Notamacropus eugenii: one gene and its partner. The protein of the gene in region 2 interacts with the protein of the main gene of each other region in a biochemical or structural test. Links are inferred from orthologs where the notes say so. Each region holds a gene or a part of one and is shown on either strand. Other genes may lie near its edges.

What was found.
Region 1: of the proteins of AMFR (region 2) and HERPUD1, one has a biochemical effect on the other in vitro, tested with the Homo sapiens proteins (6 studies listed by BioGRID and IntAct, with this or other methods). The link is inferred for Notamacropus eugenii from reciprocal best matches to the Homo sapiens genes AMFR and HERPUD1.

The regions. Positions count from the first base shown.
Region 1 is NC_092872.1:474,456,797-474,472,233, reverse strand, and holds the start of HERPUD1 (homocysteine-responsive endoplasmic reticulum-resident ubiquitin-like domain member 1 protein), read right to left. Parts: upstream 7,124-15,437; 5' UTR 6,914-7,123; coding exon 6,779-6,913; exon of another isoform or gene 6,692-6,778; intron 6,367-6,691; exon of another isoform or gene 6,266-6,366; intron 5,998-6,265; exon of another isoform or gene 4,240-5,997; intron 2,860-4,239; coding exon 2,782-2,859; intron 2,692-2,781; coding exon 2,626-2,691; intron 1,168-2,625; coding exon 1,034-1,167; intron 1-1,033. UniProt on the Homo sapiens protein: Component of the endoplasmic reticulum quality control (ERQC) system also called ER-associated degradation (ERAD) involved in ubiquitin-dependent degradation of misfolded endoplasmic reticulum proteins.
Region 2 is NC_092872.1:473,916,082-473,931,117, forward strand, and holds the start of AMFR (E3 ubiquitin-protein ligase AMFR), read right to left. Parts: upstream 7,747-15,036; 5' UTR 7,430-7,746; coding exon 7,151-7,429; intron 1-7,150. Other genes in the region: NUDT21 (cleavage and polyadenylation specificity factor subunit 5), read right to left, coding at 14,653-14,674. UniProt on the Homo sapiens protein: E3 ubiquitin-protein ligase that mediates the polyubiquitination of lysine and cysteine residues on target proteins, such as CD3D, CYP3A4, CFTR, INSIG1, SOAT2/ACAT2 and APOB for proteasomal degradation.

The DNA of each region.
Region 1 (15,437 bases), about 540 kb from region 2:
AGTGTATAAAAAAAAATGCCTACTCTACTAAAAAATCCAAATCATCCCTGTCACATTGGGTAATACAGTGTGTGCTACTATGAAAAGGGCTTTGATATCACTTAAATTTGAAAGAATGAAATAAAACTTAATAGAAGAGGTTTTTCATGTAAATATATAATAAAATCAGGCATCCATTGTCAAGGGCAACTTTTTTTTCTTCCAGAACCCACAGGTTTGTAAACCTATTTTATTTTCTTTCTCCCACGTTTAACTATATACATATCCAGTGCCATTACAGTTGTACTCAATTAGAGAAGAACATATCGTTTATACTCTTGTACTTCTGTACTCTACAATTCTCCTGTTTTAAAGAACTTAAGCATGATATATAACGTTTCCCTTTTGCATTAATCTATCACTCCTTGGTGGGATATATAGTGTGCTCTGTACAACTTAGGGTACCACAATGGCTTCCCAATATTTCAATCTAGTAATTTCATTTTATACCTAAATTGTCTTGAAAAATAACCTAGTCAATTTATTCCTCTGAAATATGGTTTCAGAACAGCATCTAAAAGCAAATTAATCTACAGAAACTACTTTAAGGATAATTTGAAAAGAATAGAAGAAATTTTCAGGCTGCTCAAATTATTTCTACATTTAGAGCATTGAGAGTGGCAAATTAACAGCTTAATTTTCCACAAAGGCTTTGTGGAGACTGTTGTTATCAAACAAAGCAAAACTGATAAATGATGACTTGCTGGTAAAGGATCTATCCAAATATGTGTGCACATCACTTATGTAGCAAATATAGTCCTGAAAAGTTATATGTAAATAGAGATCACTGCAGCAGCTCCTAACTTGGGCAGGAAAAAAAGCTTCATATATTTATTCTCATTAACCTATAACTGAAATTTAGCAGTTTCTTCAAGTATGAATATAGGCAAAACACTTACCCATTTTTAACATTCAGATTTGTAGAGTTTTCTTAAATTGGAAACTGTACTTGGTGTTTGCAAAAACAACCTCCATGTTTAAAGCATACACTCACCTTGAATTATTTTCCCATGCAAGTGGAGAAGGATTATGAAGAATATCCCTTTGCCTTAATCCACCATTTGAGGAGTCTACAGAAGAAAGTTGGTCTTGATTCAGTCCAGTAGGCTGCTCACTGGATTCAGAAACCTAAGTAATACCAATATGAATGTTGGAGGTTTAATTCAGAATGTAGCTGATGCAATATTAAGAAATAGAGCTTACAAAAAAGAAAGAAAGAAAGATAGCTTAGAGTGGTTTGGGGTTTTGTTTTTTGATGGGGAAAGAGGAAGGGTTTGCAAATATTTCCTGATCTTGTGATTTTCCTTTCTACAACTAAACTTTATTTTTTTATGCATCCAGTGGAATCAATTGAAAATGAACATGACTTTTCAATTAATTTTTCCCCACACTTAGACAGGCATCATAATGTTGTAGAAAGAGTACCAGATTTGGAGGCATTACACACCCTGGGTTTGTATTTTGCCTCTGACACTTACTAGCTATTGGGCCTATAAAATTCAGTCAGTTAGCCTCCCTGAGCATCAGTTTCTTCATTTGTAAAAAAGGGGTTAACAACATTTCTACTACCAACCTTACTAGGTTGTTATGAGAAAAGCTTTTGTAAAATAAATTGAGTTTCACCATTATTTAAGTTTCAAGTTGTTAAACACAGTACTTTGTCTATGGGTACTAAACAGCTAATACTTTCTTAATGTAAGCATTTTTTGGTTTCACTCAATCTAACAAAAGGCCTTAAACTAGAAGGTCATAAAAATCTTTGAGAATGATCTGAGGAAAAGCTTGGATATCTTGTTTCAATGCCTTAGTTTTACAAGTGTGAAAACTCAGGTCTAATGGTGAGAACATTTCCTGATGATACAGTGCATCTTTAGCACAATTGTATATGATAAATACAATGCCAAATGAAATTCCAAACACTGTTTTTTGTATTTAAACCTATCAAGTTCATCTATACAACACAGTCAAAATTCCTAGAATACTGGGGTCTTCTGTATCATTGTGTTTTTTAAAAATAAAACTTCGGATAAGAAAAAATTTAAGATTTCTATTTCCAAGAATAATTATTTATCCCTTGGGAAACAATGCTGAATACCTGCTTCTGAGTCTAACATGTTTAAGGGTTCTATAATCTATAAAGATCTTGGTTTTTGGATAACCAATTGAATATTCCATGTTCACATACTAATGTCAAGGAAAATAATTTGCAAAAGATAGTCACTCATTTACCTTCTATCAAAAGTTGAGCACTATGCTATGTCATACCTTAAAATGGTCTAAATGCAATAAAAATATATTACAAAATCCCTGCTAGTTCATGAATTTGGTTATGCAAGTATATGTAGATCAAATAATATTCTTGTTCATATTAAACTGTTTTCTTTCCTGCTGACATCTGTATTAATATTTATATACTGTCACTTTATTTTTAAAGTACCATTTCTAATTTCTGATCCTTCCTGGGAAAAGAGAAAAAAAGAACATATTACAGCTAAAAAATGATAACTTGAGAGTTTAAACTCAACTGCTTTTTTGCTCAAGAGTCTGGGTGACATTTTTCAAAGCAATATGAAAAACTAGACTTACCTTTTCTGGCATTTTTGAAGGATTTCTTATACTGCAAACCAAATGAAGGACATGCCGTTTTTCATGCTAAAATTAGAAAAAAAAACCCATATAAGGTCCTTATATGCTGAATTGAACTTGGTAGTATATTCAAAAGTTAATTTATAAGTAACATACCTTAGGTAGTATATCTCTGAGATAAAGGTGATCTAACAGCAGCTTTCCTGAATAAATTAATCTCTGGTCCTCTTCTCGCTTATTGAGGGAACAGAATGGAAATCACAATTCAGTTTTTAACTGTGGCAGGTCAATTCCCTATATACTGAACAACCTCTTCTGCATAAAAGTATTGGATATGCTGATTTTCCTCAAGTCTCTCCAGAAAAAAATCCTTCCAAAGGTACTGCTTTAACATCTATAAAAATATTAAATTTAGGAAGCATATTCAACTGACCAGCAGTTCTCACTGATACCCAATATTTAGTAATGCAAAATTCTTTCCACTTCTAAAATTCATAGGAAAAAATGGCTTTTTAATTTCTAGTTATCCTACCACTGAATCTGGAACTTGTTCCGGAAATTATATACAATCTGTACTTTTCAGTCAGAAAAGCAGAATCTGAATTAGGTTTCCAAGACTATATTTTTAAACTTTAGTTTCCACAAAAACCAGGTAGGACTATGTAACACAGATCTCTTTATCATTTTACCTCCAGGAAGAAGAAATTTCCAAATGACACTTAAAAGATTCCTGCAGTTAGTCCACTGAAATATGTCAGATAGGTAGACAGATAGATGCACGCATGTACGCGTGCGCACACACGGATTTGTCTATCAGATTTTCTTTTCCTTGGGCACCTTTTAGAAGTGGCTTAAATTTACAAGGTTTCCTAACTGGTCTCATGTAAATGAATCTTGCCTTATTTAAAGGTAAGAGGTCTTACAATTTTTAACAAAAAACAAACAAAAGAATGTATGAATTACAGGATTTAAAATGTAATAGTTAATACCTGATGGATATAAAACCCTTAAAAAAGGAAAATATCTCCCGCAAATTCTAAGTGAAGATAATACCTTTTCCCCCAAAAGTTGCAATATCCTTAGAAAGGCAGTGTAATAGAGTGGAATCAAAAGATCTTAGTTCAGACCTCATCTTACCAGCTATTTGATTTCTCTGGGTCTCAATTTCCTCATTTGTAAAATAAAAGGACTGGACTAGTGTAGTTCTTTATCATTCTAAATCCACAGGATCTTGATCTTGCATTTTTTATTCTCATTTGGTATTGATTTTGATATTTGCTCTCACAATTTGATTGTCTTGACTCTATTAATTTGGAAATGATTCCATTTTAAGCAACCAGTTCCTATTTGTTAAAATATAATCAATTTCATTTCTCTAATAATGCTATTTGGTCCAAAGCCTCCTGACTCTCTTCTCATATAGTACCACTGATTATGAGGCTTCTATATAGTCTGCAAGCCTTTATTTAAGCTCTCTCCTTTCTACTTCCAAAACCATATTTTCCAACTTTTTTTTGCTGTGTCCCAAACTTTGCATTTATACTACTGAGATAATTTGATTTCTATGCTGAATTTGGAGGGAGAACTTTTATCAAGTTCATTAAATTCCTCTACCTTCTCAGATCTTCAATAGCTGTTAGTGCAGTAAGTTGGAGCTATCTTCACAGAGGCCTCTTGTAAATGTTTGTCACGAACACTGTGATATTAGATGGCCAATGTTCCATGAAATGATGCTGTTCTTGTTGTCTTGGATGAGCACTAATTCCATTAGTTCCTTTATTTATTTCTCCAATAAAAGCCATTCTTCTATTTAACTACAACTTCCTTTTGTCTTCTGGTTTGATTTCTAAGGAGAATGTCAAGGTTGATATGATTCTTTTCTAATGGGAGGTACTTTTCTTTAGTCATTAAGTAAGGATTTTCTCTTATTTAAAATATCAATAGTTAAGCCTATACATTAAAACCTATAAATGTTCTAAAAAACTATTAATTCTTAGGATTCTTCTTTCCTCTCCCCCTTTTTTCTGCCATTCCAGATATGAAAGTTGGTTTCAGGAAACTCAGAAAACTGAGCACCATTTTGTATTTTGATGTTTACAGGCTACTATGACCAAAGAATTTCTCATCCAGGAGTCCGCCTTCTGGGGATGAAATGAGTCTCGAGTGGCTGAGCTGTGCCAGAAAACTGACATAATCTGTTGCTGGGACTCTCCTCCAAGTCTTTTCTGGCAGAGACTCTCAAGAGGTTGTGCTTTGTTGACTAAGCCTTCAAGAACCCAGAGTCACCTAAGCAATGCAGTAGGAGTTTCAGGCATTTATAAACTTGAAAGTTCCATAAATACCAGCTCAAAACAGTACCTGGCATAGAGCATGGAGTATTTAATAAATTCTTGTGGCTTTACCTTACCTATCATTACTCTATGTCACTAATTAATATATTTAACAAAATCACAAAATCGAATGTTTTCTTACAAAACAAAAAATGGCAAACGATTTTGAACAATAAGCCAAACTAAATCTTGAAGCCTGGAAAGAAAGTAACTGCATTAAAGCAAAGGAAAAAATAACTACCCAGATGTTCTTAAGTTTCAGAAAGTTTTAACTTCTTTCTTCTTAACTTTAAATAAAATTGAATGTATTGTGCTGTAACAGTTTCTAAAACAGATATTCTGTAATCCTTTCCTGCCACCTTGGTTCTTTTTGCTCCCCATAATTAAGAATTATATAATTGGAAGCAAACACTACTATTGCCTATTACATAAGGCCACAGGGTAAATAAACAAAGGCTCCAACAACTCATACATGATCACATGAGGGAGGAAGGGCTTCAGATAAAAGGAAAGGTTGACAACACACCCAAACAAGAGAAGACACTGCCATCATGGCACAAAGTCCCATTGCTTCAGAAAGAGTTCATCTCAGATAACCACCCAAACAAGAAAATGCCTCTGTACCAGCAAGAACAAGGACCTAGCTAGGTACACAGCAACTGGAATAAGGAGCCAGGAGAAAGGAAGGTGGGAGAGAGGAGAGCAGACTTTTCAAGCCAAGTCTTTCCCAGTGAGGGTAAACCCAGGATTGTCATAGTATCAATACTGAGAAGGATGAAGACAAGTCAGTGTTAACACTGAAAAGGATTTGGAGACCTGCCCACTGTTTGTCTATAAATTTGCAGACACAATTATGTAACAGATGACACAAAGAACATTAAGAAACTTTATAATTTTTTAAAGAACTATGTTGAGGACATTGGAGAACATCTAATCCAGCCACTTCTTTTACTCGGGAAAAAACTGAGGTCAAAGAAGGGTGAAGCTCAAGGTCACAGAGTCCTGGGGCAGAACTGGAACCAGAAACCCAGGCTCCTGGATTCCCTGCTTTTCTGCCCCCACCCCACCCCCATTCCTCTAGTACTGTTTCCGCTCCGTGGGGGTGGAACAGGGAAAGATTTGGGTTGGAGAAAGGCGGACAAGTGGGCTGAGGCAGATGGAGGATGAAGAACTAGGGTGAGAGGTGGATTGGGTGGATGGGTGGGAGGGAGAGAGACTGAAGGACATCTAGGTGGAGAGGTTACTGGAAAGGACAGACTCCAGGAGGATGAGGAACTGCAGGGAGTTAAGAGGGAAGCAGATGAGAATTGTGAGGGGGAGGGAATGGAAGAGTTAAGGGAAGTGGACTGGAGCGAGGAGATGGAGGAGAGGAAGAGGAGGCGGTAGAGGCCGACAGCAAGGAGGAGACCTGGTGAGAAAACACAGATCTTCGGAGGTGGGGGAATTGTGGAGGAAGACAGGCATGGAAGTTGGGAGACATGAAGGCGGGGAAGGGGTGACAGGAAGGGAGTTAGCGAGCAGCAGAGAGGAGGAAAGGGAATTGCGGGCAAGGCGCGGCGGGGGGACTCGGTGACAAATGGACAAGAAGGCAGGGGACAGTTGCTGACCAGAGGGAAAGGGGCGGGTGGGGGTGGGGGAGGACGGCGGGGGGAAGAGGAACAGCAGAAACAGGTGACAGCTGCTGCAGAATCGGGGAGAGGCCTAGCCGATCTCTAAGGTTCCCCCCACCCCCTCAGCTCTGAATCGCCCCTTGGGAGCGGCGCAGAGGCCAGGCCAGGCCGAGAGCGCAGGGAAGCAAGCTGGGCCATGTCCCCCGGCCTCACCGGTCGCTCGGGGTAGACGCGGCTCAGGTGAGCCTTGAGGCGGCCCACGCTCCAGTTCAGGTCCCCGCTCAGCTCCAGGTCCCGGTGCCGCTGGTTGGGGCTCTTCACCAAGAGGGTCACAGGCTCGGGCTCCATGTCTTCTGGGTTCCCAAGGCTCGGCTCGGCCCGCAGCGGCCTGAGCGGACAGACTAGAGGGCGGTGCCGCCGCCTCTGCTCCCACCCTAGCCTGAGACAAACAGCCGAACGAACGACAGTTTCCTGCTCTGGTGCGCGCGACCCCAACCCAGCCGCCTTTTATGGGCAGCCCCTCCCCGCCTCTGCGAACGAATACACTGGATACACTGTGGCTGAAGTCTATTGGCTGAAGCCGAGGGTCAGCCCCAACGTGGCCCAATCGGAGCGCAGATCCACGAATGGGGAAGAGAAGCTGGGCTGCTGTTCCTAGCCGCTGGACCAAGTAGGGCGGGGCCGAGAGGAACTCTGAGGACAGACTGATGCAAGAGCCTGGAGTTGCGTCACCCTGGAGCACAGTGAGGCTTAGGACTGGGACTTGGGGCTCAGGGGCGTTGAGGCTGGTTTTCCTTGAACCTCGTCCCATCAGGCGGCTGAACTCTGAAGTGACCATGGCCAGTATCCCAGCCTGCGTCCACAGCCTCGAAATCTCTTTGAATGGTTTCGTCATAATGCATAATCCTTGCCCTGCCAGCCCCCTGACCACAGACGATCCCCCGACCTGCCTTAGATGATACCTTTGCCCTTTGTTTCAAAACCCTTCTGTCTGATTTTTTGGCAAATTTCCTCACATGTTCATAAAGCATTTTTATCTGGATCCCTACTTTGACACGGTTACTTCCTACCTTCTAGTATATGTTATCTGTGTAGATAGATGTTAGTTAGCTCCTTGTGACTTCGTTGTCTTTGTCAATCCAGAGCCTTGCGGTGCTTTACTCATACCTGGTGCTTGACAAACGTTTATGACGTCAGATTGAACTTGGTGGTTCAGCCCACAGGCCTTCAAGGGCTAGTGTGTCAGAAAAGACAAAGGCTATGCCGGTCTTAAGAAATCCCAAAGTCATAGTATAGGAGAATTTAGACCTTGGAAGGATCTTAGGAATCATCTCATTTCAAAGAGGCAGAAACAAAGTGAGGGGAAGTAATTTGACCAAAACTGCACAAGGAGTTAAGTAGGGTGACCTTGGAGACCCTGGTTTTTAGCTGGATTTGCCACTTGTATATTATCTACATGACCTCATCAGATCACTCAACCTTCCTAGGCTTCACAGCTTTCTCACCTGTAAAATGAGTGTGTTGAACTAGAGAGCCTCTGAGATTCTTATGGTAGAGTAGTGATTCAAACCCAGATTCCAAATCCCAAATTAATGGGTGTTTTCCACTACATCTGAATGGTCTTAATCTAGGAATACCATTCTTTGAAACAGGGTTTCTTAACCTTTGTGTGTGCATGTCATGGACCTGTTTAGCAGTCTTGTAAACACTATAGATCTCTTGTCAGAATCACGTTTTTAAATACATAAAATAAAATACATAAAATTGCAATGGAAATAAATTATATTGAAACACAGTTATCAAAATATTTAAGAAACAAAGTCACCATCTTCAGGATAAGACTACCTGATTTTAAAGATTTGCTGACAGAGTTCTTTCCTCCAAACAGTTGCCAAATTCATATTCCTAAAGCACAGGTCTGAGGATGTTTTTCCCTTGCTCAAGATACTTTGTTACAAAATACAGACTCCTTTGTTTGGAGCTTAAAGCTCTTCACAATAAGGACACAATCCACCTTTCTGGCCTTCTTTCACTTGATTTCGCCATCAAGTATTCAACATTCCAGTTAAACTGGCCTGTCCTCAGCATTCCATCTCTTGATTTAGTGCCTTTGAACAGCTTTTCCCCTTACTTGGAATGCACTTTCTCCTTACTTCTACCTTTCTGAATCTTTTAACTTCCTTTAAGCCTCAGTTCAAATGCCACGTTCCAAAAGAGACCTTTCCTGATCACATCCCCAATTAAATCCCCCCCATGTTACATTTTCCTTTTTTTTAAATTAGGCCTTTGATTTTATTGATATTGAGAAATCCCAGATAAGAAAAATCCTTCTGTCACTACAGATCTGGACCTGTTCTATAACTTATGGTTTTCAAGAGTATCAGAGTATTTTGATTTGCTTAAGGTCACACAGCTGGTGTGTGTCAGAGGTGGCCACTTAACCCAAGACTTCCTGACTGAGAGGCTGCCTCACTATCTAGTATCCCAACCTGTCTCTCATTACTTTGCATTTTGTATTTACTACTCCATTCTTGTAGACATTGTTCCTACCCCATCTCACTTAAATATAACCTCTTTCAGATCAAAGACTTTTGTTTTATTTTTGTATCCCAATAATAGGGGATTGTTGTTGACCTCATTTGGGATTTTCTTGGCAAGATACTGGAGTGGTTTGCCACTTCTTTCTCCAGCTCATTTCACAGTTGAGAATAGGGTTAAGTGACTTGCCCAAGGTCACACACCTAGTGAGTATCTGAGACCAGATTGGAAGATGTCTTCCTGATTCCCCACCCAGTGCTCTATTCACTGTGATGCTCCATAATAGGGGATAGTGCCTGACATTTAATGAATGCTTGGGGAATGATTAAAAGTCTAGAGTCAATGTAGTGCTATGGGTATTCTCTAGGAGTCCTGATATAATCCTCTAGGATAGGAGAAAGAAAAATGGGAAAATATTAGGGGAAAATTCATTCATTTCTGGTTACTAAAAATAGTTTCATAATTTTTAGAACTGGAAGGCACCTAGAAAGGCATAATACAGTCTCAAAATCCCATCAAAAAAAGTAAAATCTCTAGTACATTCAGTCTTCAAAGTTCCAATGTCAGCACATGGTTTTCCAGGAGAATTGATAGCAACTTTATCAATAGAAACAGAGAAATGTTAGTAGGAGAATGCATGAAGAGGTGGGAGCAGGATGGAACAATCAAGGGCCCAGAATCATAGGGTCCTAGGATTTTTAGAACTGAGAGGAGACTTAGAGATTATCTATTTCAACTCTCATTATTATATCAAACTGGGTTTTGATGGTTCAGAGTGAGTGTAAATAGCAATTGTTTCTGTTCTGGCCAGAAATTCTGAGGGGCTTATACTCCCAGACTGATTCTTTTGGCAAGTCAAATTAGGCCATCTTTCATCTCTTTTCTTATCTAGCCTGAATCACTGAATGGAGATTGCCTCAGACAAACTGAGACCTGGGAAAGACCTTAGCTTAAAAATTTTGAGCTTGTACTTCCTAAGCACCTTGCATGTGGAATGTTGTACCCCGATTCTGGGGAATATTTAGTACCAACTACTCTTACTTTGTAACTTTCATAAATATCCATTTCTAGTAGCTAATTAACTCTGGCTAGCTAATTGATAATCACTGTGAATGATGACTTATGAATAACAGTAAAAGACCTTCTCCTCCTCACCCCAACCCCCTATTTTTGAATTTCCCTCTGGGGTCTTAGTCAGTCAATGTCACTAGAGGTTGGAGGAAGTAGACTTGGTGAGGATGCTACAAATGGATGTGGTTTTATTAAAGGAAATGCCCACTAAAGAAGACGCATTTACATCTGCTTTGCTGCTTCACCCTAAGGACCACCGGGACTTTCCATCTGACTAGTAGCTGAAACCTTCCTGTCTGTTTTCCCCAATTAGAATATGAGGTCCATGAGAACAGGGACTGTTTTGTTCTTCTATGCATACCTCCAGTACTTTATACATAAGTGCTTATTAAATGCTTTTTCATTTATTCATTCATTTCATTTATTCACTTATTCATTCATTTTGAGCTCATCTAGTTTAGTCCCCTTATCTTAATGCTGAGTGAATTGAGGTCCATAGAGATGAAGCAGTGTATTCAATTCACACAGGGAGTAAGTAGCAGTTCTGGGATTACAATCCAGGTCCTCTCATTCCAAATCTAGGGCTATTTCCACACCAATGTGATTCAGATGGAAAGGAGCCAGTATAAACTGTCTCAGACAATAAGTCATCTTAGCTAACCAGTTTTAATTTAGATAGGAAGATTGTGTTTTCTTTCTTGGCTTTTAGTGTAATAGAAAGAACACAAAATTGGAAATCAGAAGAGTTTGATTTGAGCCCTATTTCTGATGGTTCCTAACTGTGTTACCTTGGGTAAGTTGCTTAACAAATCAGAATTTCCTCATCAGCAAAATAAGAAACATAAGGCAAAATGGTGTAGTGGATAGAGCACTGGATTTGGGGTCAGAGAGTCCTGGATTCAAATTCTGCTTCAGATAGCTACTCCTTGTATGAGTTGGGTAAATCACTTAACTTCTCTGAACCTGTTTCCTTGTCTGTAAGATGAGGGGATATGGACTCGATGACTTCTTAAACTTTATTCTTCCAAATCTATGATCCCATGAATGTCCCATGATTCAGAAACCACAAATGCTTACACTACCTATATTATAGGGTTGTTATGAGAAAATTGCTTTATGAACATTAAAGCTATACAGAAGTGAGGTCTTGGGAGAGAGAAACAATGAGAGAGACAGAGAGAAAAAGAGAGAGAGAATGTGGGGACTGGATGAAGTCTTAAAAGGCAAATTCCTCAAGAACAATGGTGGTGTGCCTTCTCTGTATTCTATAGAGGATCCAACAAGAAAGGATCAATAGTTTGGGTGCCTTTTTGCATTGTTTGAAGCTGAGTGCTGGGTATAAAGACTCAAAACTTTTAACTATTATACAGCAAGGAAAACAGTTCCACCTACCTAGTTCCCAGACCTGCTCTTTCTTGACTCTAGTCTTTACATATTTAATGGGTTCATGTGGCACTTCATTATAGTACTTCACAATCTCATGTAGAACATATGGCCGTCTACTTACTCTCTGGGCAAACTTGCTCACTCCAACCTGCTCTCACATTGGCAGGTCTAGGTTCCCAGAGAAGGAACCCATGTTACATGGCTACACACAAACTCTCTCAGAGCTCTAAGGATAACTCCTTCTACTCGCCACTCTAGTTCTTGAGCCCCCATTATTGTGCTTCTATTTATAAAAAAAAAAAAAACAACCCAACCATTCACAATAATAACACCATTAGATGTTTAACATCATTTACTTAACAATAATACAAAAGAAACTGTCAACATCACAGGTGCTTCTATATTAAAGCAAATTCAAGAATAATATATATATATATATATCATAATCTACACTCTATCTACTGTGCCACCTAGATAAATCATATTTGTATCTATCTTCCCAGTATGCTACAACTTGTCACATTAAAAAATAAACCCCTCTCACGACTCTGAAGCAGAGAAATTGTAACTCTTAGAACTCAGAGGAGACTAAACTTAGCAACAAATGGCTCAATATGAAAGGGGACTATCTCACACATAACCAGGTCATGAACTCTAAACTGATTTGTACTGGAAAGAACACTGACTCTAAAGTCCAAAGACCTAGGATCAAATTCCACTTCCAGTGATGACTCTCTCTCTCATCTTGGGCAAACTGTTCCTTATCTGTAAAAATAAAAAGGTTCCTAAATGGCCTAAGAAGTTCCTCCCAGCTCTAAATTCATAATTTTATGCCCGGTGTTCAAATACTAGCTCCACCAGTACTAGCTGTGTGACCTTAGCCAAATCATTTCACCTCTGTAGGCTTGCTTCTATTTCTTTCACTGCAAGATGAAAGAATTGGGTTAGTTGATTTCTAAAGCCCCATCTAATTCCAAATCCTATGCTTCTGTGATCCTATGAGTATGGAGATCCCACAATGTTGCTACCAATTCTGTCAATATCTCTGACAACCAGAAGGGGTATCTTCTTTAGTTCAGTTCAACAAGCATTTATTAAATATCTACTATGTGCAAGGCATTGTATTAGATATGGGTAATACAAAACAAAAAAAAGAGTCCCTGCCCCTAAGGATCTTACCTTCTACAGAGAAGACAAAATGTACACCAATAAGTATAAATGAATATAACTAGAGAAAGAATTTCAATAATAGCATGCTAGGAGAGCATTAAAAAGCTTTCAGGTAGGAAGTGATACTTGTGTAGATTTTTGAAGGTAGCCAGGAATTCTACCTGCGAGCTTATAGGTTTTATGGATTTAGTGACAGAAGAAGCTTTGAAGTTTATCTACTCTAGTTCCCTTATTTTTGTTGTTGTTTAGTTGTTTCCGTCCTGTATGACTCTTTATGACTCCATTTGGGATTTTCTTGACAGAGATACTGAATGATTTGCCATTTTCTTCTCCAATTCATATTACAGATGAGGAAATTGAGGCAAACAGGGTTAAGTGACCTGACTAGGGTCACATAACTAGTAAGTGTCTGAGGCCAGATTTGAACTCAAGAAGAGGAGTCTTTTGACTCCAGGCCTGGTACTCTATCTACAGCACCACCTAGCTGCCCCCTGCTCCCTCATTTTGCAGATTAGTAAACTGAGGCTCAGAGAGACCAAGATTGTAAATTGGAAAGTCATGGATTGGAAATCAGCTCCTCTGAATCCCAATAACGTGCTTTTTCTACATGAATATTAAATTAGCAGAACTGCTAGTTGAAGCAATATGAAATAAGTCTGGAAAGTGAGCGTGGACTAAGATTGTACACCCCCTCTTCACCTCTGTCTCTAGGAATCCTTAACTTCCTTTGGGGGTCAGCTCAGGTGTTATTCCCAATAGAAAACTGTTTTTGATTCCCCTAGTTGTTAGTACTCTCTCCAGGAGCCACCAAGTTCAACCCAAATGTCCCCCCCAAAAAATCCCAAATCTTCACAGCATATCCACTGAAGGTATTTATTCCAGTCTTTGCTTAAAGGTTTCTAATTAGGGGGCAGGCATTGCCTTCTGAAGTATGCCATTGGTCATGTGACCAGCTCTAATTGTTGGAATTATATCATTATATCAAGCCCAACTTTGATAATATTTAATATCATTTTTGGACTTTAATAAGGGCCAGAGCTTGAATTAAGAAGAACTTGGACCTAACAGTCTCTTTGTTCTCTGAAGTAAACTCAGAGTAAACTTCCTATGTCAGCAAGGCCAGATGGGGCTGACTTAGCATTCCTTATGAGACCCTGAACCTGAGACACTATCTGGAATAGTGGGACTTATTTTTAAATATCTTGTGGACATGTAGTATGTTATGACATGTTAATGATGGAGAAAACACTTGTTCTGAGTTGTAATTTCAATCAACGCTGTCAACTCTCTTATCTTATGTATTTAGAACCTATCCAATTAAGAAATTCTGGTATAGTTAATCACTCATGCAGACCATAAATTTGAAGGACACAGACAACCTTGGATTGTCCTAAAACAGATTTAAGCCTGGTCATTCTTGTATTAGTCAGAAGTTTTTCTGGCTCCATGATCATATAACCACTAGCTTTAAGGGAATAAATATGCATTTAGCCTGTTTGCCTTTTTTAACAAAACTTTCAGGTTGACAACTTCTACTCCTTGATTCTTGCAACATGTCCCTCTGGGATGCTGTTAAGTCCCACAACAGCAGTAAAGAAGTCTTGCCTAAACTTTGAAATACCCTGTAAATAACCAGGACAGTGTTCTATACGTAACAGATGCTTAATCTACTAGTCTAGTTGAACTAAGTCAACTCTGCTTTCTTTTTTAAATCTCTTTTCTGTATCTCTCATTTGATCTTTCCCTGGGGATGGAGTTATGCCAGAAGGTAGATATCTTCATCAGCATCTTGTGACTCCTCCCACCTGCCCATCAGATCCATTAACACAGTGGGTCGTTAGTTGTTGGGTCCTATTTTAGGTCCATAGGCTCATACACTGAGACCCGAAAAGGATCCTAGAGGGTTCCATGGTTTAACCTCCTCATCTTATAGATGTGAAAATAGAGACCCAGAAAGCTTTAAGTCCAAGGGAGGCCAAGCAGGTAATAAGTGTCAGAGTCAAGATTTGACTCTAGGTCTTCTGACTCCAAATCCCTTTGCTGCCTCCCAAAAGGAAGTGGCAAGCCACTCTGTGAGCGCACATAGGCTCAGTGCATGACAAAAAATGGCTTGCCTGGGAGAAGTAGCCTAAAAACATCATTGAAGATTAGAATGAGGACTGGATTTGGAGTTAGAAGACCTGGATTCAAGACCCTGGCTTTTCTACTTATTACCTGTGTACCTTAGGCATGGCCCTGGGAACCTCTGTTTTCTTCTCTGTAAAAAGGGGGCAGAATGGATGACTTCTAAGGTTACTTGTAGCTCTCAATCTAAGGTCCTATATATAAATGAAAAAAGGCCAGTCATGTAGCAAGATTGAAGGAGAGCATATGGACAAAATATGACATTGTTATATAGAAATCAGTCAATGAACATTTACTAAGCACCTACTATATGCCAAGAAATGTTTTTTTTTTTTTTTAAACTTTTAAAGAAAGGGCACAGGGTAAATCCTCTAAGGACATGAACAAAAGTCACATAGGATGAGAAGGCCAGGGTGGTCTGAAATTTGCTCTAGTGGAGTGAGTGCCAACATCCATGAAGACGTGAGTATTGAGAAATATCAAAATGAATCTTTAGTTTACAAAGTCCAACTTTGATGCTTCATCAAAGTAAGATAGTAACCCTAGATTCTTGAAGGCTATGGCAACAGAGCGGTCAACTCTG
Region 2 (15,036 bases):
GTATATATAAGGCTTTTTTTTCTTTGTCTTCCTAGGAGAAAAATATCCAGTAGTGGCATTGCTGGGTCAAAAAGTATGAACAGTTTAGTCACTTTTCTTGTGCAATTCTGAGCATGGTGCCTAGCATATAATAAGTTCTTACTAACTAGTTGGTGACTTGATAATTCAATGTTTTTCCAGAATGGCTAGAAGAATTCACAGTTCTACCAATAGTTTATCAGTATGCTTGTTTCCCACAACCAGTTTCAGTTTTGTTTTGGGTCATATTTGCTATTTGCAGAGTATGAGGGAGAGACAGGAGGCAGTGTGTGCCAGACAAGTCAATCTGCCACTAACACCTTGACCATCTCCTCTCATAACCTGATAAACAGTCCAGGATCCAAGCCAAAGAGCCCTGGGACCAGCACTGCTCCTGGCCCAGTGCCCTCCGCCATCATCCTGGGAGGCAAGCCTTGTGAAGATGCACCTGGGGAACCGCTGCTCCTACAGGTGCTACAGCCACCCCTTTAGAAGACCCAAAAATGAAAGCCCTTGTCACCAAAGTCCTTAGCACTGTCAAACAGTTCAAGATTAGAAACTGATATGATTTTAGCAATGGAAAGGCATTAAAGAAGAGGCATTACCATCTGCTTTGTCACTGCATCCTAAAGACCATGGAACTTTCCCATCTAACTTGAGGCAGCTAGAAGGCACAATGGATAGAGTGCTGGGCCTGGAGTCAGAAACACATGAGTTCAAAAACAGTTTCAAACATTTACTAGTTGTATGACGCTGGGTAAGTCATTTAACTTTTGTTTGCCTCAGTTTCCTCAACCATAAAAATGGAGATAACAGCATTTACCTTACAGGATTGTTGTAAGGATCAAATGAGGTGGTGTTTGTAAAGTACTGGGTACAGTACCTGGCACATAGTAGGTACTATATAAATGTTAGCTATTGTCATATTAGTAATTATTATTGACTTGAAGCTGGAACCTTCCATGTGATCTCCCCCATCAGAATATGAGTTCACTGAAGACAAGAAGAAACTGTCTTACCTTTTGTTACTTACTTACTATTTGTATTCCCAGGGTTTAACACAGTATTTTGCACACAGTAAGTGCATAATAAATGCTTTCTTCATTCATTCACTTCATGTCTGTGTATGGAGCCCTACTCAATAAATTCCGGTAACTTCATATTACTTCCAAAATTACTTCATATTAAATCCTCTCCTTGGCTTTTAAAGCCCTTCTCTGCCGCTACCTTCCACTCTTTGTACATTTTGCTCCCCTTCTCCTTGCTGTTCCTCACACACAACACTCTACCTCCCAAAATCATGTCTTTATACTGGCTATCTCTTTTGGCTGTAACGCTCTCCCTTCCTGGCTTCCTTCAAGAAAGTTCAAATTCCACCTTTTGCAGGAAGCCTTTCATGCTCATCTCATTGCTAGTACCTTCCCTTTGAGATTATCTTCCATTTATACTGTTTATATTTCCTACGTGCAATTTGTAAAAGTTGTTTCCCCAAGAGAATGATGAGTTCCTTGAGAAGAGGGACGATGTTTTTTTACCTTTCTTAGCATAGTGCTTTGACACATTAAAATGGCTGGCATTTACACAAGACGTGATTTGCAATACACTTTACAAATGTCATCCCACTGGATCCTCACAATAACTCTGGAAGGCAGGTACTATTATTATCCTCATTTTACCATTGAGGAAACTGAGGCAGGCATTCAGTGACTTGTCCAGGGTGACACTACTAAGTATCTGAGATGGATCTGAACTCAGGTCTCCATGACTCCAGGCCCACTGTTCTATCCACTGCACCAACTAGCTGCCTGGAAGTGGTTAATAAAATGCTTGTTAACTGGCTAAGGTGAAACTTAGGTTTTATTTCACAGTATTATTTATGTAAAGCATTCTTTTTATTGTAGTTTCTATCAAAAACTTCAAATTTTTCAACCACTAATCATGGGGGAATGGCTCTAATTCTTATATTTGCGTCAATTCCCCATATATCTTGGCCATAAAAGTTTAACAACTTGCCAAGAATGCTTGATAGAAAGATTTTTCAGAGTTTCCCTTCTTATTCCATCTGCGTTGACTGTGCTCATGCAACTTTGTATGGTCAAGAATTCTCCCCCTATCTGCAGTTGCAAAAGGTACTTCCCCCTTCATACTATTCTAATTTTCTGTTTCCTTTGCTACGTTGTTTGATGACCTTCATTCTATGTTTTCCCATTGTTTCCCTTGATATTTTAGATATTTTGTTTCTCCAAATGAATTTTATCATTTTGTGTAGTTTTACAAACTATCCCTTTATTAGTCTGATTGGCACGATAGTAAATTTGTAAAATAATTTAGTATCATTCTTTTTATTTTGCTGGCATGGCTCAACAACTGAGGACTGAGCAGCCCTTTAATTATTTAAGTCTTCCTTCATTTCTGCAGTGTTTTGTAGTTTTACTTGGGAGTCTTAAGTATGTCAGGAGAGTCTAACTCCCAGATATTTTCTATCTTAAAATATATTTTAGGTTACTACAGGATGAAGAGAGACCTTAAATTACTTTAAGGTTAAACAATTTAAAAATGCTTTTGAGATTATTAGTAAATAGTCATCTCCATAACTAATATAATATCTGGCATATAACAGGTACTTAATAAATTCTTGTCGATGTTTGATTGATGGTCACTATGCCCTTTTATGTCTACTTTTTGAGCAATTCCTTAATTTGTTAAAGAGTGAGCTGGCCTCAAAACCAAGAAGATCTAAATTCAAGCACCACATCCAACACATAAATGCTGTGTGATCCCAGGCAAGTCAATTACCCTCTTAATTCTATAGCCCACTGAGATGACAAGTTTTTTAAAATATTTATTTTAGTTTTCAACATTCACTTTTATAAACTTTTGGTTTTAAGTTTTCTTCCCCTCCATTCCCTCCCCAAGACAGCATGCAATCTGATATAAGCCATAGGTGTACAACCATATTAAACATATTTCCACATTAGTCATATTGTAGAACCAAAGGGAAAAACCATGAGGAAGAAACAAAAAAAGAGAAAATAGTATGCTTCAATCTGCATTCAGACTCCATAGTTCCTTCTCTGGATGTGGAAAGCATTTTCCAACATGAGTCTTTTGAAATTGTCTTAGGTCCTTGCATTGCTGAGAAGAGCTAAGTCTATTAAAACTGTTCATCACACAATGTTACTGTTGCTATGCACAATGTTCTGGTTCTGCTCACTTCACTCAGTATCAGTTCACGCAAGTTTTTTCCAAAAAGTTTTTCTGAAGTCCACCTGGCTCATTATTTCTTACAGAACAACAGTATTCCATTACATTCATATACCCACAACTCATTCAGCCATTCCCCAATTGATGGGGAATCCCCTCAATGAGAGGAATCCCCTCAATTTCCAATTCTTGGACACCACAAAAAGAGCTACTATAATTTTTTTTTTTTACATATGGGTCCTTCTCCCATTTTTATGATCTCTGTGGAATACAGACCTAGAAGTGACACTGCTGAATCAAAGGGAAAGGACATTTTTATAGCCCTTTGGGCATAGTTCCAAATTGCTCTCCAGAATGGTTGGATCAGTTCACAACTCCACCAACAATGCATTAGTGTTCCAATTTTCCCACATCTCCAACATTTATCATTTTCCTGTTTTGTCATGTTAACCAATCTGATAAATGTGATGTAGTACCACAGAGTTGTTTTAATTTGCATTTCTCTAATCAATAGTGATTTAGATTATTTTTTCATATGACTATAGATAGCTTTAATTTCTTCCTCTGAAAAACTGCCTGTTCATATCCTTTGGCCCTTTATCAAGTGGGGAATGGCTTGTATGCTTATAAATTTGATTCAGTTTTCTACATATTTTGGAAATGAAGCTTTTGTCAGAGACACTGGCTATAAAAATTCTTTCCCAGTTTTCTGCTTCCTTTCTATTATTCTTGGTTGCTCTGGCTTTGTACTAGTATTTGTATTTATGGCAAACTAAAACTCAGCCAACAGAGATTATTTATGAGCACATGATACATGATTATATCATATGAAATTATTTCCTGAAATCATAAATTGATTAGGACATTTTTTGGTTTCCCTCCAAAAATGTAAGCACACAACTGATTTGGCTCCCACTAAAGTCTTTTGTTTGAACAAGTACTCTTCTGTACATTCGTGCCTTGAACAGTCCTAGGAATCAGAAACAAATACTGTCCCCATATTATATCAACAGCAATATTCTTCCTCATCCTTTCTAAAATGGGCATTCCTAGGTCACTAAAAGTATTTAGGTCTACATGTACTCTCCACAAGAGTGTTGGGAAAATTTTCCTTTCTTTTTATTTCTTTAATTATTTATAAAAATGTTTATTTTATTTTATTTCTAAATTATTTACCCACGTATACTTATTATTTTGTGTCATTATTATTATCATTATTATTATCATTATTTTTCTTATCTTAGTTACCTCTACTTTCAAGCAAGCAATCAATTTTTTTTTCAATGTTCACCCAAAATATTTGAAATTTGTGACTATTCAATACCAGGACATTTTAAAAGGAAAACTTTTGGATTTATTTTAGAATTTTACTTTTTATTTTTTTCATGCCCTTCTTTTTCTTATAATCTTCCCCTTAAACCTTCTACCAAAACTGCATCTTTACATTTACTGACTTCATATTCTAAAGTAAAAGTTGTATCTATTTCTCAAAATTTTTCAGGCCTTCCTCTATAAACAAAAGAGGAAAGGAAAGAGAAAAAAGGAGGTAATAAATATAATGTATCAAGAAAAAAGAAGCTGAATAATTTTTAGCTGGCCTGGTACAATAGCTCAAGAGGTACTTATAAGGATACAAAAAGCCTTGAAAAACTACCATCATGCCAAATTAACAGAAGTGTAGAGTTAAGAGAAATGAATCTGAAAATATAATAGTGCCTATTACCTTTACAAAAGGGAAAGCCAGGCAATGCAAAATAGCACACGATAGCAGGTGAAAGTAGAGACCACTGAAAACCAATAAGGAAAAAAAACCTATAGTAAAACAGAAGAGAACAAGTCAAAGAAGTCACTAATCTAAGAACCATGGAGACTCACCTTGGTGTCCTTAGGGATCCATGCCATAGATGTATCTTATAAACAAGACCAATTCATTATAAGATTATTTTAGACACTTCAATAACTCAAACTCCTCTGGGACACTACATTATACCAAATTGTTCTCAGCTCCGAACAACATTACAGTAATGTTCCAGTGCAAAAAAGCAGGTTAAGGAATAAAAAGAGTAAGAAATGAAAAAGTAAAGCAAGAACAAACCAATCTGTAAGAAGGTAAATGAAATGCAGTAAGTCAAGATTAATGCAAAGCAGAAATATGAGAAAAAGGAGAGGAAAAAGATCAACTAAGAAATGAAAAATATATCCACATACAGAAGAAATAGAAACCTCAAACTGAGTCATCTATTAAAAAGCAGACAGAAAAATGAGGGGGAAAAGACAATTTTAAAAGAATAACTCACAAAAAAATCACTAGGCTTTACCTAATATTTTATGAATATATTTAAGACTACTGGAATTTCAACAGTAGATATGTAAGAAGAAACCCCTAGGAAAAAATCACTAAACAATACCAGTGACTGTTTGTTATATAAGCACAAGAGCTACTTATCAAAGACTTATTTATATCTTAAGTTTTAAGAAAACCCCCCCCACATATTAAAGATATTATAACCTTAAAGAATTGTCAAACTCCATTCTTCCCATTTAAAGTAAGCAATTTTCAAACTAAACAAAGTACAAAACATTAATTTCACTTAAAATTTCAATGGAATGAAATGAATTCTTTCCCCACTGCTATCCTAAAAATAGCACGCTACTACAGAGTATCAGTGCTACATGGAACAAATGGACCCAGTATAAATAGAGGTAAAGAAATTTCATGTATCTTGCATATATCCCTAACTTTTAAAGTCAGGAGAATTCGAATTTCAAAATAACAAGAACATCTCTATAATCTTCTCAAGTTTATAAATCTGTTTCTGAAACAGTGGTATTAATTTGAAGGAACTGCACACACTCTTGTGATTTTGGATACCAAGTGAATAGTCACAGAGAGGCTGACACTGACCTAAAAGGGCAAAGTGAGTGACAACGAAATTGACAACGAAATTGACAGTCTCCAATCGTGGAGTAACTGTACTTGGTGCTGCATGGTTTACACGAGAAACACACACACACACACACACACACACACACACACACACACGGATATATACCCCTCTTTTAGACTGGCTATTTATGTATGGCCTTCTCGACTTTCTTAACTCCTTTCTCGGTTCACGTGCCAGCACAAGCTATATTTCTGAAAGTGTAGGTTGCCTCCGTCTGGATATTGGTTTCATGGTTAAGTAAAGAGAGAAAACCAAACACGCAAACAGGTCCTTGCTAGACAGCGGTAAAAGAGAACAAGATCTTTCAGTGAGAAAAAATGGGCCTTATTCATGCCAAGACAAGGAAGTCTACACTCAAGTCTACAATTCTGGATCACTCAGAATCAAAGCTCCTAACATTCTTCTTCCCTGTCTCTGGAAAGCTCATTAATACAGTTATACTGCTGACAACCTCTGAAATTCACGCTCCTTAAAAAAAACTCCCCAAATGTGGCTGATCTCAAGGGAAAAAAAAGTTCCCATCCACATATGGAAGCACCGGAGTTGGAATAAAAGGATGTGGAGTTCCAATTCAGCCACGAATTTTCTACCCCTGTGACCACAAGTACGTCGCTTTCCCCCTGTGGCCCTCAGTTTACTCATTTGTCTCATAAGTACACCCCCGCACGCTGGAGCGGTGACCCCGACGTTCATAAACTCCGTCTCCGCTGCCCACTCTGATATGCTGCCTCCTATCCGAGGGTGCGGGGGGGAGGGGAGGGACACGGGGTGCGGGGGTGATTGTCTTTACGTACTCAAAGGCGTCCTTTCAGGGGCGCTCTGCAGGATCCCCTAAAACATGAAGGCTCCTAACCCACAGCTCCCAGTTACCCAGAGCTGTCGATCTCCTCCAGCTCAGGCGCCCCTCGCCCGGCCCCGCCCCCACTCGGGCTCCCCTCCGAGCCCTCCGCCCTGTGCCCAGCCCCCCCGCACCCACTCACCCACACGAACAGGCTGTCGGACAGCAGGTACTGGGCCACATCTCGGGCCCGGGGGCCCCCGGGGCCCGGTAGGGCGCTGGGCTGCGGCGGCTGGGGCTGCAGCGGCTGCTGAGGCGAGGCGAGCGCCTCGGGCTCTCCCGGGCCGGCGCCGGGGCCTGGCTCGAGCTGGCTGAGGGCGCGATAGGCGCTCACGATGGTGCCCAGCAGCGCCAGGCCGCTGAGGCCTGTGTAAGTGCGGAGGCTGGGCCAGGGGAAGCGCTCCAGGAAAAGCAGCGGCATGGTGGCGGGGATAGCGGCCCTGGGCCCCGGGCCTCGCCTCGCAGGCCCCGGAGCTGCCTCCCTTCTTCCTTCCCTCCCTCGCTCCCGCCCGCGCAGCCTCCTCCAAACGGCGGCGACTGCGACGGCGACAGCGCTCCTCGGCTCTCCGCCGCTCGCTCCCGCTCCCGCTCCCGCTCCCGCTACTGCCCCTGCCGGCGCGGAAGAGCCTCGGCCACGGGGCCGGCGGCCGCCCCTCCCGCCCCGGGGCGGGACCCGACCGGCCTCGGGCCCTCTCCTGGGCCGCTCCGAGCCGCGGAGCCCAGAGCCGCCCGCCTCCAGGTTGGGGCTGAAGGCGGCGCAGCTGACCCTCCCTCCTCCGCCTCCAGAAATCATAAACCCGCGAGGGCTGGGCGGGAGATCGGAAGAGCCAAAATAGCTCGGGGGAAACTAGTCGCGGGAAGGGCCCCGAGGCAGCCAGGGCCCCAGACTTTAGAGGCGGAAACTGAGGCCCAGAGCAAGGTAGGGACGGCTCCGGGGCTGCAGGCACAGGACCGGGGTTTGGGGCTAGGAGAGGGGCCGAGAGGAGACTAGGGCCACCTGACCTCCGGCCCCGGCCAGCGTAAAGTCCGTTCGGCCCGGCCCGCGCTGTGGGCTATTCTCGGCCGGGCCGGCGCTCCGCGAGGTCCCCCCAAGAAGCTGCGGTTGCTGAGCGGTTCGACCGGTCCTCCCCCGCCGCCTCCCTTCTCACTAAGAAATTAACAGAATTATTTCGTACACTCCCGTCACCTGTTAAGTTCGGAAAGCTTCCGTCTCCTCGAGAACTGACGATTTTTAAAAGTCGAAAGCTGCTAAGCGCACCAACTCCATTCTGGAGGGAAATACGGTGGCTCTGGCGGTGGGCTGGGAGCCACAGTGCCGGAGTTCAAGTTCCTCCCTGGTGACCCTGGACAAGTCACTTACTGGCCCTCAACCTGTTTATCTGTAAAATGAAGATAATAGCACCCACATCGAAGGGTTACTCTGAGGATCAAGTGCTTTACAAATATCAGTTATCATTGGCTTCTTGGATTAGGAGCTGCATAGAACTGTAGCTGAAAGAACAGTGCCCAGCCTACAGTTTTTTCCCCAAGTTCAAATGCAGTCCCAGTAGTGTGACCCTGGGCAAGTCACTTAGCCCTGTTTGCCTGTTTCCTTATCTGTGAAATGAGCTGGAGAAGGAAAGAACAAGCCACTCCAGCATCTCTGCCAAGAAAACCCCAAAGGGGTCACGAACAGTACTTGGCTTAGAAGCGCTTCCGTCCTTTTTTCATTCACTCAACTGATGCAGATCGAACAGAAACATAACTATTTGTGCAACAACCACGGCATAGAAAAAGGGAATTGAAGAACCAGACAAAACACCACTGCCAACGAATGATTCATTGTAACTGTGAAATGAGATATTTTCCAACACACCCATCATAAATTTTCTTAGTTTTGACGGTGCTTGTTGCCAGAGGGCTTTTATTGTCAAGAACACCGAAGGCAGCAACATTGATACAAAGATGTGTCAGCAAAAAAAAAAAAAAAAAAAAATTTTAAATGCTGAAGCAAATTCAGAAGGGGACATAAACAAGTAGGGTGATGTAGGTCCTACCAGGCTGAACGTCATTTAAAAAATAAGCTTTAATACATTCGTGGTTTCACACCTAATCCCCATTTCATCACCTTTGGATATATATGGATATAGGTTCATGTTTGAGGATTTTCTTAAATCAGTTTTTTTTTTTTTAAATTGGTGCTGCACTGTCATTTTAAATTACTTTGAGAACTACCTAGAAAAAGAGGCAGTTTGCAGCCGTGGAGAGCCACTTTAGGCAACCTTAAACCCTCCTGCCCTCAATTTCATCAATAAGAGAGGTGGAACTAGAAGTTTAAAGTTATCGGTCAAATGTAATACCTACAACCTGGCTCAATACTTGTATGTTGAAGTAAATTCCCCCAACAGCCAGTTATTTATTCCCTGGGCTTAACAGAGTACTAAAAACTGAAGGTGCTTTCAACCACTTTAGTAATTTCGTCTCTAACTAGTCACCATTGTATTGGCCTCACTGCATCAAGATGACTTTTTAAGCACTTGTGCTCCCTCCAACGTTTACAAACTATGGTGTTTCCATCCCCATGATGGAGAAAAAAATGGGGAGGATCCAAGAATATTTGATCAAGGTATGAAAACTACTTGATTCAGTCCAACAAGGCCTTGTTTTATATAAGCAGTAAGAGCATAGCATTATGAACTGGAAGGAACCTTGGAGTCTCTGGTCCAACTCTTTTATTTTACAGATGAGGAAACTGAAGCCTAAAAAGGAGAAATAACTTATCTATGTCCAAACTGTTATTATAATAGCCAAGATTTGAACTTGGGTGCTCTTGAGTTCAAACCCAGCAATTCTTTTTACTACACTGAGTTACTCAAAATAAGGTAAAAAGGTAATAGTCTTTTAAGAGAATTACTGATGTGCAGGGCAACTATAAATCCTGGTACTGATTTTTAAATGAACTAAACCCTCTACTGCATACTATATTAACTCTGTGAACCTGGGCAAACTTTCCTCTTCTAAGACTTATCAGTTGCAGGCCTGCATGAAATCACAGGTACAGTTCCTATCTTAAACCCTATCAAAATCCAAGCCACAGTGCATTTAGCAATGGGAGATATTCCCAACAGGTTTAAGATGATACCCTACAATTATAAGTAAATGTTGTCAAAAGTCCTTTCAGTTTAATATTACATGTCACACTACTACTTTTCCATATTTTAAGATAACTTGACACATCCTTTTCCCTTTTTAAAAAATACGGTTTTTAAGTTCCTCTCTACATTTAGTTTTACACATATTCCACCCCCCCAATAAAATTTGCATTGTGCATAACAGCTTTCTATTTATGTTCCATTTTGCAAAGAGACTAAGCTTTCTGAACATTAAATGTAGGATTAATTTAAGTGGTTAAGATATTTTACAAGTGGGTACATATTGATGTTAATTTCAAACACCAGAACTTAATAAACCTTCTTTACCATAGGAGTTCATTTAAAAAAAAAAAAAAGGCAGAATTTCTAATGAGAAGAAGAGGTTTACTATACAAGGGGACCTGTTCCTAAACACTCACAGAATCTTTGTTTTAAATGATTTTTATTTAAAATGACAAAGGGAACAGCAATGACCTTTTAAACTAAGCTCTTGCATTCTATATGTAAAAATAAAACCAGAACTTATATCTTTACAGTTTCTAAGAATCTAATACTGCAAATAGCTATTGATGCCAAACTAAAGATGCGTACACATCTTCCTTTAAAGACGATATAAAAATTTAACATTAGCAACATTCCCGCCCTCCATGGCTTAGCATCCTAACTGGGCACATTCTTCCCTACTTACAGTTCCACCTTTATGATGTACTTTGTCACTAAAACACAAACTATTTATACAAAGCAGTACTAGCTTTTAGCACCAGATTTCAAGCAGTTTCTCAGAAAATAACAAATTTGCCAAGATGTAGAAGTGACTTGAAAATGCCATTATTAGTAAAATGGACTTTACTGACCAATTCAAATTATGTTTTTGTTCTTTAATCATTAAATGATTCAGGCAAACACCAAGAGTCCAATTAAATGCAATCAAATACTTCAGTGATGGAAGAATTATGAAGCATTACTCTATTATAAAATGCAGAGGTGGAATTATTATAGTTCTAAACATTTCTTTGAACTTTCCTTGGCAAGACACACAAAGCAGCAAGCTTCTTGAAGCTGTCTTAGAGATCAGTACAATTTGTTCCAACCATTATTAACTAACAAAAATGTTAAGCCTCTTGAAATCAGGTAATCAAAAGTTTCTCCAAGGATATGATCTCAGAAACGCTGTAGTACGTAAGAGACTAAATGCCTTAAAAAACAAGTAGGAACTGAAGAATCAACATACTTCACTTTTCTAAATTTAGAAAGGGATTTTCATTTGGAACAAGCTGTGAGTTATCAAATGGACTAGACTGTTAGCTTCTGTCATTTGGAAAACCTTATACTTTCTTACCTAAGATTGAAAAGTACAAACCCACTAAGCAAACTGAATCACACTCCCTTCATGTGCAGTTCTCAAAGGTTAAATTTTTACTTGAAAGTACTGTAACAAAGTAATTGCAAGTTGTAGGGATGGGAAAATCATTTATGACAGAAAAATTTCTCCATCTACTGCATTAAACTTGGCATTTTCTAATTAGTATTATCATACTACATTTTAATTACTTAACAAAGTTTCACAAGTCTTAGTGCTTCTAAAGACTTTTAGAATATTAGTTTATTTTTGTAGTTTCATACATAAAAAAAATTTAGGCCATATAAAATGCTTGTTTTGACACTGAAGAGATCTTAAGGCAAATAAATATAGATTCTACATTTTCTGCCCCAGTCTACTGAATACTTTAAGGGCTATTCTGAATTCACTTTTCAGTGACGATTACTGCAGCCAGAAATATTCAAACTTCCTTTGAATATTTAAAGTGAATGATACTATATATTGCAGTTTTAAAACAATCAAACAAGGAATCTAATGTCTTTTACCTGATAAGGGCTCAATAAATACTTGATAAATAAATGTCAGTGAATAGAAACTTGTTGAACAAACACACATTCATAAACCTTATTAAATAAATTTTAAATTAGTACTGTTGTTAGTTCACATATCATGGGGACTTAATGAATAATGCTTAGAAAATTTTTACATTTGTTTAATGTAGGAATATGCTTGATTTTCTATTTCCTGTAGAAATGCTGCTTTTAAAGGGACATAAAAAGTCTGCAAAAAGTGGAAAGCCTATGAAAGGACTGGATTGGGACTCGCTATGTAACTGTGGTCACCACATGGCAGCGAATAACAAGTTTAGAGGCAGCAGAAAAAAAATCAGTCCAGTCAACTGAATTATAATTTCATATAACTTTAATAATTACTGTCAACTATTAAGACAAAATTTAACTCCATTTAGCCAAAGCTAAATTCATTCAGTCCAGATTGCATGAAGTCCAGTAATATGTAATTCAGTTTATGGAATTCTATTTTTTGCCCCACTTAGCCTCTCATGTAAAGATGAGTGTGTTCACTGAAGGGCTAAAATTGTAGCTAGCATCCTACCTTGTCAGACAGGGAGTGGCTACATGGTAAATGCTGAAGGTATGAAGAACACAACTGGGCTAGAAACAAAAAAAATCTGACCAAGATTTTTTTTAATAGAAAAAAAATCATACATACTTATCACAGACACACAAAGCACTGCCCAATCTCCCACCATCAAAAAGCACATCAAGAAAGGCCCAGATGTATTTACACATGGTTTCTCTTGGAGAAGCAACTATATTCAAAGGACAGTGCAGTTTGCAACTGTCTACAGGGGAGGAATTAAAAGGGGGATAAGACTGCACTGCCTGTGAAATGAGGACAAGCAGACATAAAGCAATTATTTATATGGTTTTCCAGATCAAATCCTCCTAACTTCCTGGACAGGGCTATTCAATAAAGTCATATTCGGAACATACTGATGTCATCCAAAAGTCAGACCAATAACTCCTAAATGACTAATTAAATGGATGAATGGCACCATCTGGTCATAATAGCAAATAAACATGATCAAGGTTTCAGGTGATATTCCAGTCTATGAAAGCACATTTAGTTAGCATAGCCTCAGCTCAATTCTACAGTACTCTTCTGAAAATCAGTATATCAATTTAAGCAAAAAGCAAGTAAAAATGCATTGCTTTTCAACTATAGACAAGAGAATTTAGGAATAATGCTTAATTCCCACATGTGGGATTATTTAACAGATAATTACTGTACTAGGTATCAGAGATAATTAGGGACCCAAGAGAATTCATTTATAAGATCAATTTACTGCTGTATATTGATTTTATACCTAATTATATAAACTTTAAGCTATCAGTTATAAAAATTAGCTCTTGATTCCATTCCATTAAAGCCCATTATCAATAATTTCTATATTAAAATTTTAATTACATAAACACATCTTAAAAAATCAGAAATTATTAATTTGTATTTGGAGAAATTCCTTCATTCATAAAACTTCTCCAAATAAATTTAAACTTAATTCGGCAGATTTTAAAGTCTTCATTTGGGGGGTGTATTTTTACTTATATATATATATATATATATAAAAAGTTAGCTTTTGTCCTTTCTTCACTGCTAAATTATTTTGGATTACAAAAAATATTTTGAATGAACTTTTCAGTGTTAATATCCATGACTATGTTCTCATCAATTTACACACACACACACACACACACACACACACACACACACACACACACACACACACACTCACACTCTCTCTCTCTCTCTCTCTCTCTCTCTCTCTCACATTCTTTAGGTTAACATTTATGACGTTATATCCATGTCTCAGAGTACCAAAACAGCCAGTGAATAAAACCATGAAAATCATGTACTTAAAGGGTGTCAATTAACCATTATAGATCAATGTTTTTACTAAAGTTTTAAAAATACTTTGTAAAGACAGGTCCATATCAAATGGCATGTTTTTATATTAAACAAAATATCCTACATATAGACTTACCTTTCCATTAAATAAAAAACTGAAGAGTAGTCTCTCATTTTAGACCACCCATATCTTGACTTTGAAACACAGTCTCACCAATTTCCAAACAAATATTTGAGGGTCCCTATTTTTCTGAAGAATCCTTAGAATCCACGTGAGGAGGCCTAGATCTCAGAAGTAACTAAAGGATCTCATCATCAATCTAAAACATGATTATGCTTCAAGAACCCTTACAATGATATTACAACAGGGGCCACTGTACTTTGGTACACTAAATCTCCAGCTTTCCATTAATAACCACCAGACTAAAAGGAAATATTATGATCCTCACCTGTAAGGATTTTAAAAAAAAATTTAATATGAAGTAAAAAACGCGAATAGAAACAGGTCCACTTTGTTTAATGTTGTACAAAAAGTATGGGTAGAACCAAAAGTGAAATATACATTATCACATTTGTTTACACCACTATCTAGAACAGTTCTTCAGATTCACTTTACTATGCAAACAATATAAAGTATGAGGCAATTTGGGGAAAAATAAGGGAGAAAATGCGAACAAAAAGAAACTTCCTATTCTGTTTATTCTTCTACATTGTATAGCTGTGCTCACAGAGACGGCTTCTTTTACTCTTCCACGGCTCAGGCATTCAGTTGTAAATAAAATTGAACCTGAATTTTTTTTAAAAGAGAAAAAAAATTTTTATTTTTATTTTTTTATTAATGGGATAATTTTTATAGATCATTACTTTAAAAAGCAAAGTAACAGCTGATATTCAATATCACAAAAAAAAACAGTAAAGCAGACAGGCATAGAGAAACCCAGAACCTAGCTCACTATTTATTATGCTGTCTGTAATAGAGGGGTAACATACCAAGCATAGTCAAAGAAGTTCAACACTCTACTTTTTTTCCCCTACATTTGTACCCCAACATACTCCAACAAGATCTCTTAGTATCCTCTTCTTCTGATAAAGGACTTGAATACAAGTAATTCAGTCAAGTATTACTTCAAAATTTGCAAAATTTCAGTA